3 linked regions of the Macaca fascicularis genome follow. The protein of the gene in region 2 interacts with the protein of the main gene of each other region in a pairwise test. Links are inferred from orthologs where the notes say so. Each region holds a gene or a part of one and is shown on either strand. Other genes may lie near its edges. The genes, in order: STK11, TNIP2 and NFKB1.

Evidence for each region.
Region 1: the proteins of TNIP2 (region 2) and STK11 interact in binary tests that used the Homo sapiens proteins (3 or more experiments, as listed by UniProt). The link is inferred for Macaca fascicularis from reciprocal best matches to the Homo sapiens genes TNIP2 and STK11.
Region 3: the proteins of TNIP2 (region 2) and NFKB1 interact in binary tests that used the Homo sapiens proteins (3 or more experiments, as listed by UniProt). The link is inferred for Macaca fascicularis from reciprocal best matches to the Homo sapiens genes TNIP2 and NFKB1.

Annotation. Positions count from the first base shown.
Region 1 is NC_088393.1:1,782,882-1,789,835, reverse strand, and holds the start of STK11 (serine/threonine-protein kinase STK11), read right to left. Parts: upstream 4,014-6,954; 5' UTR 2,868-4,013; coding exon 2,578-2,867; intron 1-2,577. UniProt on the Homo sapiens protein: Tumor suppressor serine/threonine-protein kinase that controls the activity of AMP-activated protein kinase (AMPK) family members, thereby playing a role in various processes such as cell metabolism, cell polarity, apoptosis and DNA damage response.
Region 2 is NC_088379.1:2,929,834-2,936,686, forward strand, and holds the start of TNIP2 (TNFAIP3-interacting protein 2), read right to left. Parts: upstream 4,439-6,853; 5' UTR 4,362-4,438; coding exon 4,086-4,361; intron 1-4,085. UniProt on the Homo sapiens protein: Inhibits NF-kappa-B activation by blocking the interaction of RIPK1 with its downstream effector NEMO/IKBKG.
Region 3 is NC_088379.1:108,167,054-108,173,941, reverse strand, and holds the start of NFKB1 (nuclear factor NF-kappa-B p105 subunit), read right to left. Parts: upstream 4,442-6,888; 5' UTR 3,987-4,441; intron 1-3,986.

The sequences.
Region 1 (6,954 bases), on a different chromosome or scaffold from region 2:
CACTCTGCACGTGGCAGCCTCCAGTGAGGACACACCAGCTCCCAGAGTAGGGGGACCCCCTGGCAGCACCCAGGGGGCTGGAGGAGTGGCAGTGGCTCCTAAATCACAGCTGCAAACCGGGCGGCTCCTGATGGCAGACGGTCCCTGCAGATGGTGGCCAGGAAGGGACAGGGCTCACCCCTCAGCCCAGGGGGCCTCACAAGGGCAAAGCCGTTGCACTCAGGGCCAGGATGAAATTGGACGCTGAACAGGAGTGAGGGTGCATCACTCACTTCAAGGCCGGTGGGGTCATAAGTTGTGGGGAGCTGCACCGCAAGGTCCAGTCCAGGTCCTGCCAACTCCTCTGCCTCCCTGCCTCAGTGTTCCCTCCTGTTCTCCCATGCACTGGGCGAGACTGGGTTCCTGCAACCCTCTGGCCTGTCTCCACCAAGACCCTCAGGCTCCGCCCTACCATTCAGGTGCTCACCTGAGCTCCTGGGACCTCCTGCACTGACTGTTCAGGAAAGCAGGGGGCTCGCACTCACAGTTAGGCTTCCTCCCCCCAGCATCTGTCTTCCCTTTGACCTTGCATATACGTTTGTCAAAACTCAAACCAGACTTTTTTTTTTTTTTTTTTTTGAGACAGACTCTCGCTCTGTCTCCTAGGCTGGAATGCAATGGTGGGATCTCTGGTCACTGCAAGCTCCACCTCCCAGGTTCCAGCAATTCTTCTGGCTCAGCCTCCTGAGTAGCTGGGATTACAGGCATGCACCACCACACCCGGCTAACTTTTGTATTTTTAGTAGAGACGGGGTTTCACCACGTTGGCCAGGCTGGTCTCAAACTCCTACCTCAGGTGATCTGCCCACCTCAGCCTCCCGAAGTGCTGGGATTACAGGTGTGAGCCACTGTGCCCAACCCCTAAGGATGGGTTTCTGACTGCTAGGAGAGTGGCTATCACTGGCCCCTTTAGAGGGCACCTGCTACCCCCAGCACAGGCTCTGCCCAGCCCCTGACCAACCCATCTCACAGAGACCAGGCATGGGCAACTGCTCCACCTACTCCAGGCACTGGCCTTCTACCCGCGTCCAGACTGGGTGCTGAGATATCAGAAAGGCCTGGTGGAAACACGCCCCTCCCAGCCGCTCCCATTTAACCCCGACTGCTCCAGCTCCGGAGTACAAACTTCAGAGCCTGTGTCCCTGGTTTCTGCATGTCACAGCCCGCATGCTGATTAAGAAGCGTGTTGGCTAGTTGCGGTGGCTCACGCCTTTAATCCCAGCACTTTGGAAGGCTGAGGCGGGTGGATCACAAAGTCAGAAGTGCAAGACCAGCCTGGCCAAGATGGTGAAACCCTGTCTCTACTAAAAAAAAAACAAAAAATACAAAAATTAGCCAGGTGCAGTGGCAAGCGCCTGTAATCCCAGCTACTCGGGAGGCTGAGGCAAGACAATCACTTGAACCCAGGGGGCGGAGATTGCAGCGAGCCAAGATCGCACCACTGCACTCCAACCTGGGCAACAAGAGCGAAACTCTGGTCTCAAAAAAAAAAAAAAAAAAAAAAAAAGAAGTATGTGAGCCCCAGGGCCCCTGAGCAGGAGGGAGGTGAGAGCAGACAGGGCAGGGGCCCCTCCCCAGACCTCCTTCCAAGGTCATGGTGCCCTGTGCAGGGTGTCCCTGCCAGTCCCTCGAGGCCTAGCCCAGTAGATAAGGTCCTTTCTTGGAAACAGGAGGCAAAGTTATGAAAGTTAAGAGGGCTGGGAGAGGGGCAGGGCCTGGGCAGGGCCCGCCAGGCGACGGCAGGTGCAGCGTGTCTGGTTGCGATAAGGAAGGGACACCCCCCCCCCCACCAGCTGGGAGAGGCTCAGGCCGGCCCGTGCTGCCCTCGGTAGGAGCTTCTCCGCGCACAGATGCAGAGGCGTCCGGGATGCCCAGCGGCAGCCCCATGCCTGAAGAAGTCAGTTTGAAAAGTAAGGTCTTCCGGATGCAATTCGGGAGGGAGGCACAGTCCTCCTCGGGCAGGGCTGCCAGCGCTGGGGGCCAGGGATGCTTCCAGCGTCACATCCCTGGCAAATGAGGAAAGGCTACGTTTCCCTCCTGCTGGCTGATAAGCCAGTGCAGTTATTTTTGGCAGCCCAGGGTTCCCCTCCGACAGGATAAACAAATCACATTTTCTCCTGGCCCCGGCAACCGCCACACATTGCGCACAAAACCTGCTGGCGGCCGCACACAAACTCTCGGCGCCCAAATAAACACAGGCTCATTCCACTGGGCGCCTCTGCTCCTTGGACAGCTGGGGGAGCCACGGGGCTAGACTTAGGGGATTGGGGGCCGCTCCCTTCTCAGGAGGGTTTCGCTACCAGGGCGTCCATGCAGAAGAGCCCAAGCAAACACACGCCCCGCTACGACAACTGGCTCTGCCTGAGTGAAAGTCCGTAACGCAGGCCTCCGACCAAGCTCTCCCCGGCACGGAGGACACAGGCGCCGGCCGGGTCCAGCTTTGGGTGTTAAGAGGAAGTAAGGGAGGGAGGGAGGAGAGAAGGAAGGAAGACAGAACCATCCGCACAGTGACTGGCCTGCCCGGCAAGCCGTACTTACTTTTTCACGTTGGCCTCCCCGTTGGGGATCCTTCGTAACTTCTTCTTCTTGAGGATCTTGACGGCCCTCCTGCACAGCGTCTCCGAGTCCAGCACCTCCTTCACCTTGCCGTAAGAGCCTTCCCCCAGCAGGTCCCCCATCAGGTACTTGCCGATGAGCTTGGCCCGCTTGCGGCGCGGCTGGTAGATGACCTCGGTGGAGTCGATGCGGTGGATGAACGTGTCCATGCCCACCGACATCAGCTCGCCCTCCGTGAACATGCCCAGCTGCTGCGGGTCCACCACCTCCATGCTGGACCCAGGGTCCTGGAGTCCCGCCGCCAGCCCTGAGTCCGCGGGTGAGCGGTCCTTGTGTTCCGACTTCCCTTCTCCAAAATTTTACAAAGAAAAAAGAAAGAAAAAAAGGCAACAAAAACCCCAAAAGGAAGGGAAAAACCCTTCTTCCAACAGAAACGATTGTCCTACACGTCAGTCCCGGCTGCGAGTCCGAGCCCGGTGCAGGGTCTGCAGACCCGCGGGCACCGGGCGTCCGGGACGGCGGCTCAGACGCGAGTTGCAGTGGGTCCCGGGCCTCGGAACTGGGGAACGGCCCAGTCGGGGTCAACTTTGTCCTCGGAGGCCCTGGGGAGGCCGGCCGGGGCTTCTCAGTACTAGGTCATCCTCCGGGGACCTCAGGCCCACGGACAAGCGTGAACACGGCCAAGCGCGGTCTTCTCCGGGCCGCCCATCCCACAGGCGGCGTCCGCGACGTCGCTGCCCCCCGGGACCCCCACACCTGGAGAGCCCAACTTCCCTGGGGGTGTCTCCGGCGACGCCCGGGTCCCGCCGCCTGTCCCAGCCGCAAACGCTCCGCCGCGGACTACCGAGCGGACCTCCCGGGAGGCGCCGACTCCCGACGGCCCAGGCGAGCGTTCGGGGGGGGTGGGGGCGTCCGGGCAGCCTCCCGCCGCGGCCAACAGCTCCGCTCAGGGCTGGTCGCTGCCCGGCGCCCGCGAGGGCCCGCACTGGGCACCCCCCGAGCCGACCCGCGACCCCCGCGGTGGTCGCCGGGGCCAAGCAGGCGCCCCCTCCCCGCAAACGTCTGCCCGAGCGCGCGCCCCACCCCGAGTGCCCTCAGCGTCCGGTCCGCGGGACGGCGCGGCGGCGGGGGCTCCACGGGGCCCCGGGCGGCCGAAGCGGCACAGGCCGCAGGCTCCGGGGCGGGGGGTTCCCGAAGGTGCCGGGCCCCGGGCGGCGTGTCCCCCTCGCCGCGGCCGCCGCGCGTGTGGAGGAGGCGGAGCGGCGAGGGGGGCCCAGCCCATCCAAGGCCGCGGCAGCAAGTTCCGCCGCCCGCGCTCCCTTCGCCGCCCCGCGCCTCACTCGCGGGCGCTCCGGGCCGCCTCCCCCTTCCGCGCTCGACACGCCGCCGCCATCTTGTTTACCTCCCTCCCCCTCCCTGCGCCGCCGCGGACGCCGCACGCCCGGCCGCAGGACACGCCTCCTCGCGAGGACGACGTGTCCACCCGTTGGCTGAACCTGCAATCCCCGCCCCCCCTTCCCGCCCCACCGCCGCTGAGGATTGGAGCGTTTGGACCCGGCCGGGCGCCCGAACGGGGATTGGTCCGCGCTTGGCCCCGCCCGAGGGGTGGATACGGCCCGCTCATCGGCCCGCGGAGACGCCCGTCAGGGGCAGGGGGCGGGAAGCAGGCATAGGGAGGGGAGGCCACGGCTGCGACCTCAGAGGGGCTGGGGACGGGGGTCGTAGGTCACCGGTGCCAACGGCCTCGCTGAACGGCCGCGGGGAGGGCTCAGCCTGGTGGGCGAGAACTTGGGCTCGCGGACCTGGAAGGAGCGGGGCCACCCCAGCCAGAGCCCCTCCCCCGGATCCCCCTTTGGGGGGAGGTCAAGGGTCAAAAAGTAACCCAAAGTGGCCAATTCCAATCAAAAATCCTTGTTTTAAGGCTCTCTTGGGCCAGGGGAGAGAGAAACTCTCAGGGCGGCCTCTACCCTGTCGGAACTCATGGGGGAAGCCTCAGGACAGCGCTGGGACGAGCCCAGCGGGGGCTTCTGGTGAAAAACAAGAGTTGCCAAAATACGGCTTGATAAGGTTGAAAATATTGAACCCTCCTGTGCTAGCCCCGTGCTTTCCACCTTTTCCTGCACTAGCGCCACGTTGTTTTGCTGGAACAAATTATCTTGCTGCAACCTCCGCCTCCTAGGTTCAAGCGATTCTCCTGCCTTGGCTTCCCGAGTAGCTAGGATTACAGGCGTGCGCCATCATGCCCGGCTAATTTTTGTATTTTTAGTAGGGATTACAGATGCACGTCTGTAATCCCAACTACTCAGGAGGCTGAGGCAGGAGAATCGCTTGAACCTGGGAGGCGGAGGTTGCGGTGAGCCAAGATCATGCCATTGCACTACAGCCTGGGCAACAAGAGGGAAACTCCGTTTCAAAAAAAAAAAAAAAAAAAAGGTCTCTCCCAGAAAACAGAAGATGAGTAAACACTCCCCAGCCCAGACTTATTTTCATATCTGTTTTCTGGACTGATAGCTGGCTCATGCACAAACTTCTTGGAATCTGGGGATATGCTGGATAACTGTGGCATCCGTAGGTCCCACGCCCCTTCAGAGAATTGCAGGACACATGGAACTGACTCAGGAAATACTTGGTGGCCATTATAGAAAGAAGCCTTGAAGATGAATTCTTGGCTCAAAAGCCACCTCCTCCAAGAACCCCTCCTAGTGATTCTCTGAACTGCCTGGATGGAGATGTGCTGTGTAAACTACACACGGAATTTCTTTTCTTTTTTTTTTTTTTTGATATACATAATTTTATTACAAAATTTTTTAAAATGCAGCATCCTAAAAAACAAAAAAATTTACTACTGATACTAATTCCTACAAGTCTGGTGTGCTGCCATACACAAGACATTTTTAAAAACCCATTAAATGGCCGGGCGCGGTGGCTCAAGCCTGTAATCCCAGCACTTTGGGAGGCCGAGACGGGCGGATCACGAGGTCAGGAGATCGAGACCATCTTGGCTAACACAGTGAAACCCCGTCTCTACTAAAAAATACAAAAAACTAGCCGGGCGAGGTGGCGGGCACCTGTAGTCCCAGCGACTTGGGAGGCTGAGGCAGGAGAATGGCGCAAACCCGGGAGGCGGAGCTTGCAATGAGCTGAGATCCGGCCACTGCACTCCAGCCTGGGCGACAGCGCGAGACTCCCTCTCAAAAAAAAAAAAAACAAAACCCATTAAATATTTAGGGACATTACGCAGGTCGTGGTGGCTCACGCCTGTAATCCCAGCGCTTTGGGAGGCCAAGGCGGGTGGATCAGCTGAGCTCAAGAGTTCAAGACCAGCCTGGCCAACATGGTGAAACCCCATCTCTACTAAAAATACAAAGGTAGCCGGGCGTGGTGGCGCACGCCTGTAATCCCAGCCACTTGGGAGGCTGAAGCAGGAGAATCGTTTGAATCCGGGAGGCAGAGGTTGCAGTGAGCTGAGATTGTGGCATCACACTCCAGCCTGGGGGACAAGAGCAAGACTCTGTCTCAAAAAAATATATATATATATATTATACACACACACACACACACACAGGGACACTCAACATCAGAAGCTGTAAACTCTAACTGCATGTAGTAGCCCATTGAAAAACTACAACCTGCATCTTTTTTTTTTTTTTTTGAGGCGGAGTTTCGTTCTTGTTGCCCAGGCTAGGGTGCAATAGCGTGATCTCGGCTCACTGCAACCTCCTTCTCCAGGGTTCTAGTGATTTTCCTGCCTCAGCCTCCCAAGTAGCTGGGATTACAGGCACCCACCACCACGCCTGGCTCTCTTTTTTTTTTTTTTTTTTTTTTTTGTATTTTTAGTAGAGACAGGGTTTCACTGTGATGGTCAGGCTGGTCTCAAACTCCCGACCTCAGCTGATCTGCTGACCTCGGCCTCCCAAAGTGCTGGGATTACAGGCATGAGCCACCACACCCGGCCAACCTGCGTGTTTAAAAAGTATTTTCTCAGGCTGGGTACTGTGGCTCATGCCTGTAATCCCAGCACTTTGGGAGGCCGAGGCGGGCAGATCACAAGGTCAGGAGTTTGAGACCAGCCTGGCCAACATGGTGAAACCCCGTCTCTACTAAAAATACAAAAATTAGCCGGGTGTGGTGGCACACGCCTGTAATCCCAGCTACTTGGGAGGCTGAGGCAGGAGAACTGCTTGAACCAGGACCTGGGAGGCAGAGGTTGCCATGAGCCGAGATCACCCCATTGCACTCTAGCCTGGGCAACAAGAGTGAAACTCTGTCTCAAGTATTTTCTCTAAAGAGAATCTTATCAGCTATACAAAAACCTGTAGAGTTTTATACTGAAGCTAATACTGAACTACACTTGAATTC
Region 2 (6,853 bases):
CCTCCCAGGTTCACACCATTCTCCTGCCTCTGCCTCCCGAGTAGCTGGGACTACAGGCGTCCACCATGCCTGGCTACTTTTTTGTATTTTTAGTAGACACGGGGTTTCACCGTGTTAGTCAGGATGGTCTCGATCTCCCAACCTTGTGACCCACCCACCTTGGCCTCCCAAAGTGCTGGGATTACAGGTGTGAGCCACTGCACCCAGCCTAGGATTTGTGTCCATTATCAGACACAGGGGCTGCATTTGCCATTGCTCCCAGCATAGAGTTGAAGCGCCACTAGTGAAAGACACATGTATGGGTGAGGGCTGTAAGGGACTCTAGAACACAATATGAGTACATTGACCTTGGACCCAAGATACACATATGTGCACACACACACACCATACACACACCATACACACTATACACACACACCATACACACACACACCACATACACACAATACACACACCATACACACACACCATACACACACACTATACACACACCATACACACACACACCATACACACACACTATACACACACCATACACACACACCATACACATAAACACCATATACACCATACACACACACACCATACACACACACACACCATACACACATACACACCATACACACACCATACACACACACACACCACACACACACCATACACACACCATACACACACACACCATACACACACACACCATAAACACTACACACACACACCATACACACATGCCATACACACATATATACCATACACACCATACACACACCATATACACGATACACACACACACACACCATACACACACACACACCATACACACCATACACACACACACACCATACACACCATACACACACACACCATACACACACACCATACACACACACACCATACACACACATACACACACACCATACACACCATACACACACACCATAAACACCATACACACACACCATACACACTATACACACACACCATAAACACCATACACACACACCATACACACACACCATACACACACACCATACACCCATACACACACACACCATACACACCATACACACACACACCATACACACACATACACACACCATACACACACATCATACACACACACACCATACACACCATACACACACACAATATACACTATACACACACACCATACACACCATACACACACCATACACACAGCATACACACACACACCATACACACACCATACACACACACCATACACACCATACACACACAATCATATACACCATACACACACACCATACACACACACCATACACACCATACACACACAATCATATACACCATACACACACACCATACACACACACCATACACACACACCATACACACCATACACACACACCGTACACACACACCACACACCATACACACACCATACACACACACCATGCACACACACCATACACACCATACACACACACCATACACACACACACCATACACACACCATACACACACACCATACACACCATACACACACACCATACACACACACACCATACACACACACACCATACACACCATACACACACACCATACACACCATCCACACACCATCCACACACACCATACACACCATACACACCATACACACACACACCATACACACACACCACACACACCCTACACACACCATACACACCATACACACACACCATATACACCATACACACACACCATACACACACACACCATACACACCATACACACACACACCATACACACACACCATATACACCATACACACACACCATACACACACACACCATACACACCATACACACACACACCATACACACACACACCATACACACCATACACACACACCATACACACCATACACACACCATACACACCATACACAAACACACCACACACACCATACACACACACCACACACACCATACACACACACCACACACACCATACACACACCATACACACACCATACACACCATACACACACACCACACACACCATACACACACACCATACACACCATACACACACACCATACACACACCATACACACACACCACACACACACACCATACACACACACACCATACACACAACCATACACACACAATACACACCATACACACACACCATACACACCATACACCATACACACCATACACACACACACCCCATACACACACCATACACACCATACACACACACCCCATACACACACCATACACACAATACACACACACCATACACACACACACCATATACACCATACACACCATACGCACACACCATACACACACACCATACACACCATACACACCATACACACACACCATACACACACACACCATATACACCATACACACCATACACACACCATACACACACACCATACACACACACACCATACACACCATACACACACACCATACACACACACCATACACACCATACACACCATACACACACACCATACACACCATACACACACACCATACACACACACACCATACACACACACCACACACACCATACACACACACCATACACACACACCATACACACAACCATACACACACAATACACACCATACACACACCCATACACACACACACCATACAAACCATACACCATACACACCATACACACACACCCCATACAAACACACACCATACACACCATACACACACACCCCATACACACACCATACACACAATACACACACACCATACACACACACACCATATACACCATACACACCATACACACACACACCCCATACACACACACACCATACACACCATAATACACACACACCATACACATACACACCATACACACAATACACACACACCATACACACACACCATACACACCATACACACACACCCCCCATACACACACACCATACACACCATAATACACACACACCATACACACACACACCGTACACACCATAATACACACCATACACACACACCATACACACACACACACCATACACACCATACACACCCCTCAGAATGTGTCTCCTCCACACACACCTCAAAACACCCCTAAGAACCAACCGGAACATACACACTACACACACACACACACACAGCATACACACTACACACACACAACCCTCAGAATGTGTTCCCACACACGAACTTCAAAACACCCCTAAGAACCAACCTGAACCTACACAGCACACACAGAACCCAAGAACTGCACCAACCCCCCTCCTCAGAACCCAGGGCCGCCTCCTCCTCACCAATCCCCCAGGACCCAGTGCCCTCCCAACCTCCCAGTTTCCAGCATTCCTTTATCCCCTTCAGAACCTGGCACCCTCACCCCCTCCAGGCCCCAGAGCCCCCTCACCTCCACCAGGACCTGGTCCCCCCTCAAACCCCCCAGGACCCGGCACCCCTTCACCCTCCAGGACCCAGCACACCTCAGCCCGTGGTGTCCCATTACCCCTCTCAGGACCTGGTCCCCGTCTCTCCCCTAGGACCCAGGGTCCCCTCACCCTCCAAGACCTGTTGCCCTATCACCCCCAGGACCCAGTGCCCCCTCTCCGCCCCAGGACCCAGCACCCCTCACTCCCTAGGACCCAGCACTTCCTCAACCCCCTCAAAACCCAGAGCCCCCTCACCCCACCAAGACCTGTGGCCCCCTCACCCACCGTGGCTGCCTCACCCTCCAGGGCCCCCTCACCCCCCAGGACCTGGTACCCCCTCAACCCCAGGACCCGGTACCCCCTCAATCCCCCAGGACCTGGTGCCCCCTCAACTCCAGGACCTAGCACCCCCTCAATCCCCCAGGACCTGGTGGCCCCTCAACCCTTCAGGACCCCGGGCGCGCTCAACCCCAGGACCCGGTACTCCCTCAACCCCTCAAGACCCGGGGCCCGCTGACCCACCCAGGACCCGGCACCCCCTCACTTCCCAGGCCCCTCACACCCAGCACCTGGTGCTCCCTCAACCCGTCAGGACCCGGGGCCCGCTCACCCACCCAAGACCCGGCGGCCGCCACACGCACTCTGGCGCCCGCAGCCCCTCTGGTGCCCGCCCTCGTACCTGGCGCATCTGGGCCTCTGCGGCGCCGCCCTCCTGCCGCCGAAGCTGCTCCCGGAAGCGCGCAACCTGCTCCAGCAGCGCGTCCACCAGGGACGGCGCGGTGTCCCCCTCCAGCGCGGCCAGGCGGGCGCGGAGGCGAGCGATGAGGGCGTCGCGGGCGGCCAGCTGGTCCTGCAGGCGGCGCAGCCGCTGTCCGGCCTCGTGGTACAGGGTGCAGAGCGCGGCGGCTGCGCGCGGGGTCCCCTCCCAGCCGCCCGACCCCGGGTCCCGGGACATGGCTGTAAGCCTGCCCGGGAGGCCGCGCGGCCGCCGGCAACTTCCGCGCCCAGGCCCCGCCGGCTGCCGCCCTTCCCGGAACTTTCCCCGGTGCGCCCCGCCCACCCACCGCAGCCCGGCCCCGCCCTCCGCCGCGCAGCCCCGCCCAACGGCAGCCCACCCCGACCCTTCTCGCCCGGCCCCGCCCCTCCTACCGCCGACAGCCCGGCCCCGCCCCTGCCGTCCGCAGCAGCCCAGGAGAGTCGGCCTTGCCCCGGAGGCTGTCCACACCCCAGCTCGTGCTGGGCTTATTCCAGTGGCCCCAAACACGCGCCTCTGAGGAGTTGTGGGAGAGTCGAACTCAGCCCATGGCCCAGGGTTGGGAATTCATCAGCCTCTGATGGAAAGAAGGGCGTAAAGACAAGCCCCAAGCGCTGGGGCTGAGTGTGGGTCTGAATCTGCCCGCGAGGCTGCAGGCGTTGTGGCCACAGGAGCCACAGAAACTCCAGGAGCTGAGCTGAGCTCGCAGCGCACCAAGCACGTGTCATGCGTTTCGTCACCTGGGGACACTGAGTTCAGAGAGAGCTCCAACCCCCTGCTCCACTCGCCGCTTTCTTTTTCCTTTCCTTTTTTTTTTTTTTTTAAATGAGACGACTTTTGCTCTGTCATCCAGGCTGGACTGCAATGGCGCGATCTCGGCTCACTGCAACCTCCGCCTCCCGGGTTCAAGCGATTCTCCTGCCTCAGCCTCCCAAGTAGCTGGGATTACAGGCGCCCGCCACCACGCCCGGCTAATTTTTTTGTATTATTTGTATAGATGGTGTTTCACCATGTTGGCCAGGCTGGTCTTGAACTCCTGACCTCAGATGATCCGTTGGCCTCGGCCTCCCTAAGTGCTGGGATTACAGGCGTGAGCCACCGCAGACGCTGCTTTGTGAGGTGGCTAGTATGGGCCCGCGGGACAACCTTCCTGCTAGATAGTGTTCTTAGAGCAGAGGCAGCAGGAAACCAGCCCCTTCCCACCCTTTCACTTGTCCATCGCTTTCCTTCCCCAAAATTCCCAAACACTAGTGTTTTTCCACAGCCCAGTCTTCCCCACAATGATGCCCAAGCACACATGGGGTCTTTCTAAGGTTCCCGACTCGGGATCGGGCAGGGGTCTTCCCTGTGTGCGCGCTTGCCCACAGGCTCCGCCCCTGAGCAGCATCTTGACTTTCTTCCTTTATGTGATCCACAGCCAAGCCTGGGCTGAGCCTGGGAAAACACCCACAAGCTTGTAGAATCAGACAAGCCTATAAGCAAAGCCAGAGCCAGGCAAGTGTTTATGGCCTGGACATTGGGCTACACAGACCTGGCTTTGCTTTGGAAGGCTCCTTCTTACCCATCAGAGCCTGGGCTTCCTCTCAGCAGAAGGAAGGGCAGAGCGAGTGCCCACCCTACCTGGTTGGACGTTGTGGGGACTAGAGGGTGGAGTGTGCATGAAACGCTTGTCCAGTGCAGTGGCTGCTGCCCGGCAAGCCCACAGTTCACGTGGCTATGGTTACGAACAATGCCAACTGATTGGCTGGGGCACCGGTGGAAAAAGCAAAACTGGACCCAGAGCTGTTAGAGGCTAATGTGTGGCCTGGGGCAGGTCATTCCAGTGACCTTGAGACTCTGCCTCAACTGTAAAAGGTGCATTTTACAATCCACAGTCTCTCATCCAACAGCCTTGGGATCAGGTGTATTGTCTTGTCTTGTATTTATTTATTTATTTATTTATTTTAGACGGAGTCTTAATCTGCCGCTCAGGCTAGAGTGCAGTGGCATGATCTCGGCTCACTGCAACCTCCGCCTCCCAGGTTCAAGCGATTCTCCCACCTCAGCCTCCCAATTAGCTGGGATTGCAGGCACCCGCCACCACGCCTGGCTAATTTTTTGTATTTTTAGTAGAGACGGGGTTTCACCATTTTGGTCAGGCTGGTCTCGAACTCCTGGCCTCAAGTGATCCGCCCGCCTCAGCCTCCCAAAGTGCTGGGATTCTAGGCATAAGCCACCACGCCAGGCCGCCAGGTGTATTTTAGAAATGAGGATCTTTGGATTTCAAATAGGTACATATAACTGGGGTAGCCAGCCTCCAAAGAGGACCCCCCCGCTCCAATATCCATGCTCCTGTGTAGTCCCCTCCAATCCACTGGAGAGGCCTGACCTGTGTAACTAAGAGGGTACTGGAGGAATGATGGAGTGTGACTTCTGCAGCTAGCTCCCACGAGACATCATGGCTACTGCCTTGCCCGTCTTTCGGAGCTCTGGGGGAAGCCGCCCACCCTATCGTCAAGTAGCCCTGTGAAGAGGTCCATGTGGCAAGGAACTGAGGCTTCATGGCAGCAGCCGGCACCCACTTGCCCACTGCGGTGAAGAAGCCACCTTGGGACTGTATCCCCTGATGCTAGTCAAGCCTTCAGAAGACAGTAGTCCCCACCGACATACTGACTGTGACTCCATGGGAGACCCTGGACCAGAACCACCTAGCG
Region 3 (6,888 bases), about 110 Mb from region 2:
ACTAGAGAATTTGATTCTCTCAGCTTTTCCTTTCTTTTTATTTCATTTTTTAAATAATTTTGGCTAGCTTAAAGAATAAGCCATATAGAATATATAAATTCTTTTTTAAAGCTTAAGCAGTCAAAATTTTTCACAGTTTAAACTAATAGGATCCATAGATGAATTCAAATCTGTTGATATCTACTGAAGGCATGGGTCAAAAGAGAAGCTATTTCTGGATTAATGGTGAAAGATGAATGAAAAATAATAAGGCAATTAGTAATGGATAATTAAACCAAATATATCATTATTCTAATTTCAAAAACAGGCAATAAATTAAAGCAGATGAAATTTGTATTATTGATAATTAAATCTGTATTAGTTACTACAGAAAATATGAGAATAAAAATTGTTTTCTTTTTAAAATGTAAAATGCACTATTTTTATTATTAGTACTCGAAATTAAACAAATATTTTCATCCATAATCTATCTTCTGAGATTTCTATAATCTTTAACAAATTGCATCTTATGTGACTCTTATTTTATACAGAACTGTCAGGCTTTAAATTATCTGAGGTGAAGCAATGCAATTTGCACAACTTATTTTCTAAACTGTTGGCTGATCTTCAAGGCCAGGTCAACAACCTCCGGAAATGTAAAAGACAGTATATTAATTTGCACCCAGGAACAACCTCTAATACAGCAGAGACCAAAAGTATGAAGCAATTTCATCATCATTAAAAGAATGTTAACTACTTTTTTCTCTTTTTTTCTTCTAAAAGTGAGGCACTGGATACTAATTAATGAAATATTACAAAGATAAAAGGCTTGGTTATGTTACCAGAACTATTAACTGTACCAAATTATGTGGTTTCAAATATTAATCTTTTTTGATTAAAAAAAATTCACAGTCAAGGAGCCAAATTGACTTGCAGGACTATGCCAAAATGTTCAAACCTTTCTCCCTGAGGCTGAGTAGCTTCAGTTCTTCCAAACTCTCTGTCTCCAAAGTAGTGACAGAATTCAAAGAGATATCATATGCTCTTGATGGTTTATTGCTCACCTCTAAGAACACTGCAAGTGAGTTCAATATTCATGGGAAGTGCAAGAGTGCAAATGAGAACTAATTCCCAAAAAGCAGAGTAAATTGCTCCAGTATGGTCTACTGGTTACCAAGACGTAGTCATCAATTAACGCTGATTAGACACAAACGTAGATGTAGGAGCAGCATATCTTAACATATCCTCTGGCACTAACTTCTATTTTGCCTTCTCCTTCTCTTCTAATATAACAATCCCACTACTGTAGACAATTCACATTGTAAACAGAAAACCAAGAGACCAACCAAATAAAACAAACTTCCTACTAAAAGTAAAAAAGCTAATGAGAAATTTTGCATAGCCATTCATTCATAGACATCCATTCCTGTTAATGTGATTTCTGATCAATCTGTGGACTAGAAGCGCATAATCTGAGTATTTACTCTATTGGTTATACAACAGTACTGTGCATTTCCAGATACACTTCCTACTGCAGTCAATTCTATGCTCAGAAGAGCACATCTATTAAGACCTGAAGATGAAAAAGATGACATTTTTGAGTACTTCATGAAAAATCCATACAGCAACTCAGACACAATTATTTTATTGTTTGAAAATATCGACTACTTTTCTTACTTCTCCCAAGTTCAAACCAATTGAAGGTTATGAAGTAATCACTTCCCCTCAGAAGCCAGAACTTTCACCTCTTCTGAAGAGAGAAATACCTCTCATAAATTAGGTAAAAATAAGGTCTTGCTGATGGAATGATAGTCCAACATTCATGTAGCTGCCAATTCCCTATCTAGACCTCGTATCTACCACAATGAGCAATCCCTGAAAGTCAAGGTAGTAACTTACTTAATCAATTATCTGCAAGTCTAAAAGTGTAGCTAAAACAACCTACATAAATAATTAGTTTCTCACACTACTTCAATTTGTTTCCAGGAACAGTAACAACAGAAATGTAAGGAATATGATCACTAAATCTAAAATTCTTCCTATTTCAAGATTAATTGTGCTTTAATCAACTCAGTCATCACAGATCTTGTTTAAGAGGTAGAGTAAAAAGGAAGTGCAAAGATCAAAGCAATGCTTACAAAGGGGAAGGACTATTTTTGTATGTATACCCCAGTATTTACTATCTGGGTTTGAAAAACAGGGGCATTTACTCAGCACAAGTGAGTGCCAACGACGAACGTAAGAATGAAATTTCAGAAAAAAAGATAAAAGATTTTCAAATCACCACCAACCCCAAAACGATTATACTATTTTCCTTAAAAAGTGTCAAAGAGTTTAGAAGTGGTTTGCTTTTCACTGCAAGCAGCTTTTCGGTTCCAGTATTAAATGTACATAAAACGTGTGTTCCTTTGTGTTCAAGTTTGTCCAGTAGGTTGCAGACCAGGAAGACATTTTATCTAAACAAGCAGGGGAGGGCATTTAGGAATTGCAGGTGTATCAATATGGATGAATAATCTCAGATTCCAAGTCTCCATTCATCGTATATGTTCTTTTCATTTCAGCAATTCAATTAAATCATGAACGTAAAATTCTACAGGAAATAAATCTTTTCATTTCCTGTCTTCCCAAGTTTATAAACTGAAAAAAGTACACTGCTTCAAATTTAAATACATACATTTAAACACATAATTCCCATAGTGCCTCAAGCAGTAAAAGGATTCATCTCTAGAAAGCACAAAATTAAAATCAGAAAAACAACATACTTCAATTTTAAGTTTCCCTTTTAAAGTTTTAACAAACACGAATGCAGTTTAAACTGCTTGACAATATTCAGTTGTGGGATTCTGCTAGAAGAAAATTATTGAACATCTTGACCCTAACCTTTAGTATTTACTAAAGATCACCAGTGTGTAGAATATTTTGATGCCAGAGTTATTAAATGTTCTAGTAATACCATAAGCATTTTTTCAGATTATAAGCTTTATAACAAAATCTTTGAGTTAAATATGGTTATTTCATAAACTGTAATGCTGAAAACCTCTACTTAACAAAGTCCATGAAAATGTCTCAAATCTTGATAATTAAATCCTGTATCATTAAGTCCCATTTCAGTTTCAGGATAGACCAGTAAGTCAGGGCAAACATTCCCTGGTGTCTGTTTTTAAGGACCATAGAAAAACTTACATTTAGGATAGGCTTTGTTTTTACATTGTTTTTGTTTCAGAAGTCATGCATAATACATGGTGGCACTGTCCAAGAATTTTACATAATCAAGTCTAAAAAGTGCTCTAAGTATCCAACTAGGTAATTTATTTTCTCTCTCAAATGCCAGGCCCCAGAGGATCAGAATCAAGTCCTATAGCAGGTGACTATATCGTGTGTGTGTGTGTGTGTGTGTGTGTGTGTGTGTGTGTGTGTGTACGGAGGGGTGGGGGGAGGGAGAGAAAAAGAGACAGAGAGAGGGCCAGGCTTCTTTTAGAAGTAGGAGAGGGATGAATAGACTCTCCTATTCAATTCTGGGGAGCTGGAGAGGGCTTTCCCTGCCAGGAGGACTGACAAGCACTTCTTCTTTCATTTCATGGAACGCCCTTAGGTGAAATCTGGTTCTGCACTGCACCAACCACCTTCCCTCTCTCCTCCGCGCCGCAGCGCACCTCAACCTTCTCACTATCCCCCAGCTGGGGCTGGGGTTGGGGGATTTTAAAAGTTTGTAAGAGTTCCCCTCCGATTCGCATTCCCACCCCGCGGAGGGACGTGAAGAGAAATGAGCGCCGGGCAGCCACGGCCCTTCGGCCGACTAGCCCCTGCGAGGTCCGGATGTGCCTTACCCCGCTGTCGCCAATCCCATGTGCCTCTCACTACTGTCAACCTCCTCCCACGGTCTAGCCCAGCGGTTAGCGCAGGAATGAGGAAGTCCGAGTGGGGCTGGAGGGGGTGCGGAGAGCTGGATGGCGGGACTCGAGCCACGCGTCCCCTGCCGGGCCCCCACTCGCCCGAGTTTGGCTTACCCTGGTGGCGAGTCCGCGTTCGGCCTCCTGGCGCAGGTCTCTCCCTCCTGGGCGGCGCGGGCCTGCGGGCTGGAGAGGGAAGAGGCGGTGGCCGGCCGGAGCCCGAGCGGGCCCGGGTGCGGGTCGGGGCGAGCGGTAGCGCGGCGGGGCCGGGCCAGGCCAGTCAGCGCCGCGCCATGTCCGCAGCGCGGGCGGAGGGAAGCGCAGGGCGCGCGGTGGCCGGGCGGCGGCGCCGCCTTACTGGCCGGGCGGCTGCGGCCTCGGCGGCGCTGGGCTCCGGGAGCGGGGCCGGCGGCTGCGTGCAGGCCGAGGGCGGCGGCGGCTGGCGGCCCGACCGACGGGAAGGGCAGGGGAAGCTGTCAGCGCGTCGCCGGGCCGCTCCGGTGGCGAAACCTCCTCTTCCTGCCCCGGCTAGCTGGTGCACTTCTCTCTCTTTCTCTCTCGCTCACTCTCTCACTTCCTGGCTGGAAATTCCCACTGACGTCGAGAGAGCATACAGACAGACGGACACACGCGCGCACGCAGCGGGGGCGGGAGGTGGGGTCGCTGCCGGGGGTGGGGGAAGCCCGCACTTTTGGGGGCCGTGCGCCCCCGGCCCGGCCTCGTTGCTCGGTTGGGCTCCCGCCCCTCGGGGCCGCTTCGGGGCGCCGGGCGAGGGGCGCGCGTTAGGCGGCCTGGACGCCGGGATCCCCGGCGTGACTCTGGCTTCCTAGCCGGGCGCTCCCAAATCCCGAGGGCTGGAGCCGGTAGGGACGCCCCCAGGAAGCGCCAGCCGGGCCCAGTGGTCCGGGAACACAGGCGGCGCGGAGGCGGCGGCGGTGCCGCTGATAGAGTCATGCGGTCCATAGCCCCTAAGGGCAGGCCCGAGCAGCTGGAGGGTCGGCATGGATCCAAGCATGCCAGATATAAAAATAAAGCTCATCTGTATATTCCATTTAAATGTGTCTCGGTTACATTCAGATCTCTTCACAGATTAAACTAGAATTTCGTTATCATAACCGACTTGTGTCCAGTAAAGTATAACCCTCTACTGGTTTTTGGTGCGGTCTTAAATATCCTCGTTATAGGGCAGTTACTCAATATTCATCTACAAGGCATTGTTAGGCCTTTATGATAATTACTGTGGATAGAATTATAGTGATGGTGGTAGCAATGGTTTTGGTTTACAGCTCATAAAATACTGATCTGGCAGAGGGGAGTTTTCTTTTTCTCTGAAGAGACCGCTACTGGCACCCATTGACAGGCCTGCCAGTGACCACCGTTCACTGGCATCTGAGCTGCTTTAGTGCTGGGCGCTGTACTAGGCACAGGCTGGGGATACCTTGGGTTGCATTACCTCCCCACATAAGAAATCTTGAGCTGAAACATATATTTTAGAGCTCATTGTTTCACTAGTGGGTCGAGTGACAACTGAAAGCTTAGCTTTAAAATATCGGTAATCAGGTCCTTACCAGGCAATAGTGCAGTGGCATTCAGATTCCTTATAGCATGTTCATCCTAGTCGTTTTGTGCCCACTCTCCGTCCTCCTCCTCCACTAGGTTATAAAAACCTTCTTGGTGGAGTGTTTTTCTGGCAAAAACAAAAAACAAAACAAAACAAACAAAAAAACCACACATACGCGCACAACCAAAAGTAAAAACAGAGATTCATTTGATTGCCTATGACAGGAGCCTCTGGGGCGACCTTGGAGGCACCCAACAGTTGACCTTTAAGCGATCTCATTTAGCTCCTGGAGGCTGAGCAGGTGGAATTCAGAGGATCCATAAAGACTGAACACAACGACTTTTTAAGAAATTTTGTGGGCCGAGTGCGGTGGCTCACGCCTGTCATCCCAGCACTTTGGGATGCCGAGGCAGGTGGATCACCTGAGGTCAGGAGTTGGAGACCAGCCTGACCAATATGGGGAAACCCCGTCTCTACTAAAAATACAAAATATTAGCCGGGCTTGGTGGCAGGCGCCTGTAATCCCAGCTACTTGGGAGGCTGAGGCAGGAGAATCGCTTGAACTCCGGAGGCAGAGGTTGCAGTGAGCCGAGATTGTGCTACTGCACTCCAGCCTGGGCGAGACCGAGCGAGACTCCTTCTCAAAAAGAAAGAAAGAAATTATGTGTTGTTATTTATGGGACAGATTAGAAATTATGCCAATAGTATAGGAGATTGAAATATAGTTTATGTAAAATGATTTTTGCCAGTGACATGAGTAAGAAGTCTGCAAGTTCCCATGAAACAAAGTGTAAGGGGTGTGGATTTTCCCCCACTTTGGGAGGTATGAGCATACACGCTCTACTTTTCATTCTGCAAGGAGTGGCAGCCCCATTACCAAAAGATAGGTAAATAGAATTGTTACAAGAGTAGAGCCAGTGTGACATATTTGGGGGTAAAAAATGAAGAGTGTTAATTACTGAAAGGGATTAAATCAGACTCCAAACTCAAAATGATTCCATAAAATGAACTTAAAATTGAGGGTAGGGTGTTGAGCAGGCATGTTAGTTTCCTGGGGCTGCTGTAAAAAGTTACCACCGGCTGAATGACTTACAATGGGAATTTATTCTGTCACAGTCCTGGAGCCTAAAATTCTGAACTCAAGGTGCCATCAAGGCCATGCTCCCTTGAAGACTCTAGGGAGGAATCCTTTGCCGCCTCCTAGCTTCTGGTGGCTCCAGCAATCCTTGCCATTCTTGGCTTGGGTGCAACACTTCATTCTGTGCCTACATGGTCACATGGTCTCCTTCCCTGTGTTTCCTTTGTGTCCCTATATTCAAATCTCCCTCACCTTTCTTTTATGAAGACACCAGTCATTGGATTTAGAGCCCACCCCAATCCAGTATTACCTCATCTTAACTTGATAACATTTGCAAAGATCGTAGTTCCAAATAAACTCATGTTCACGGGTACCTGTGG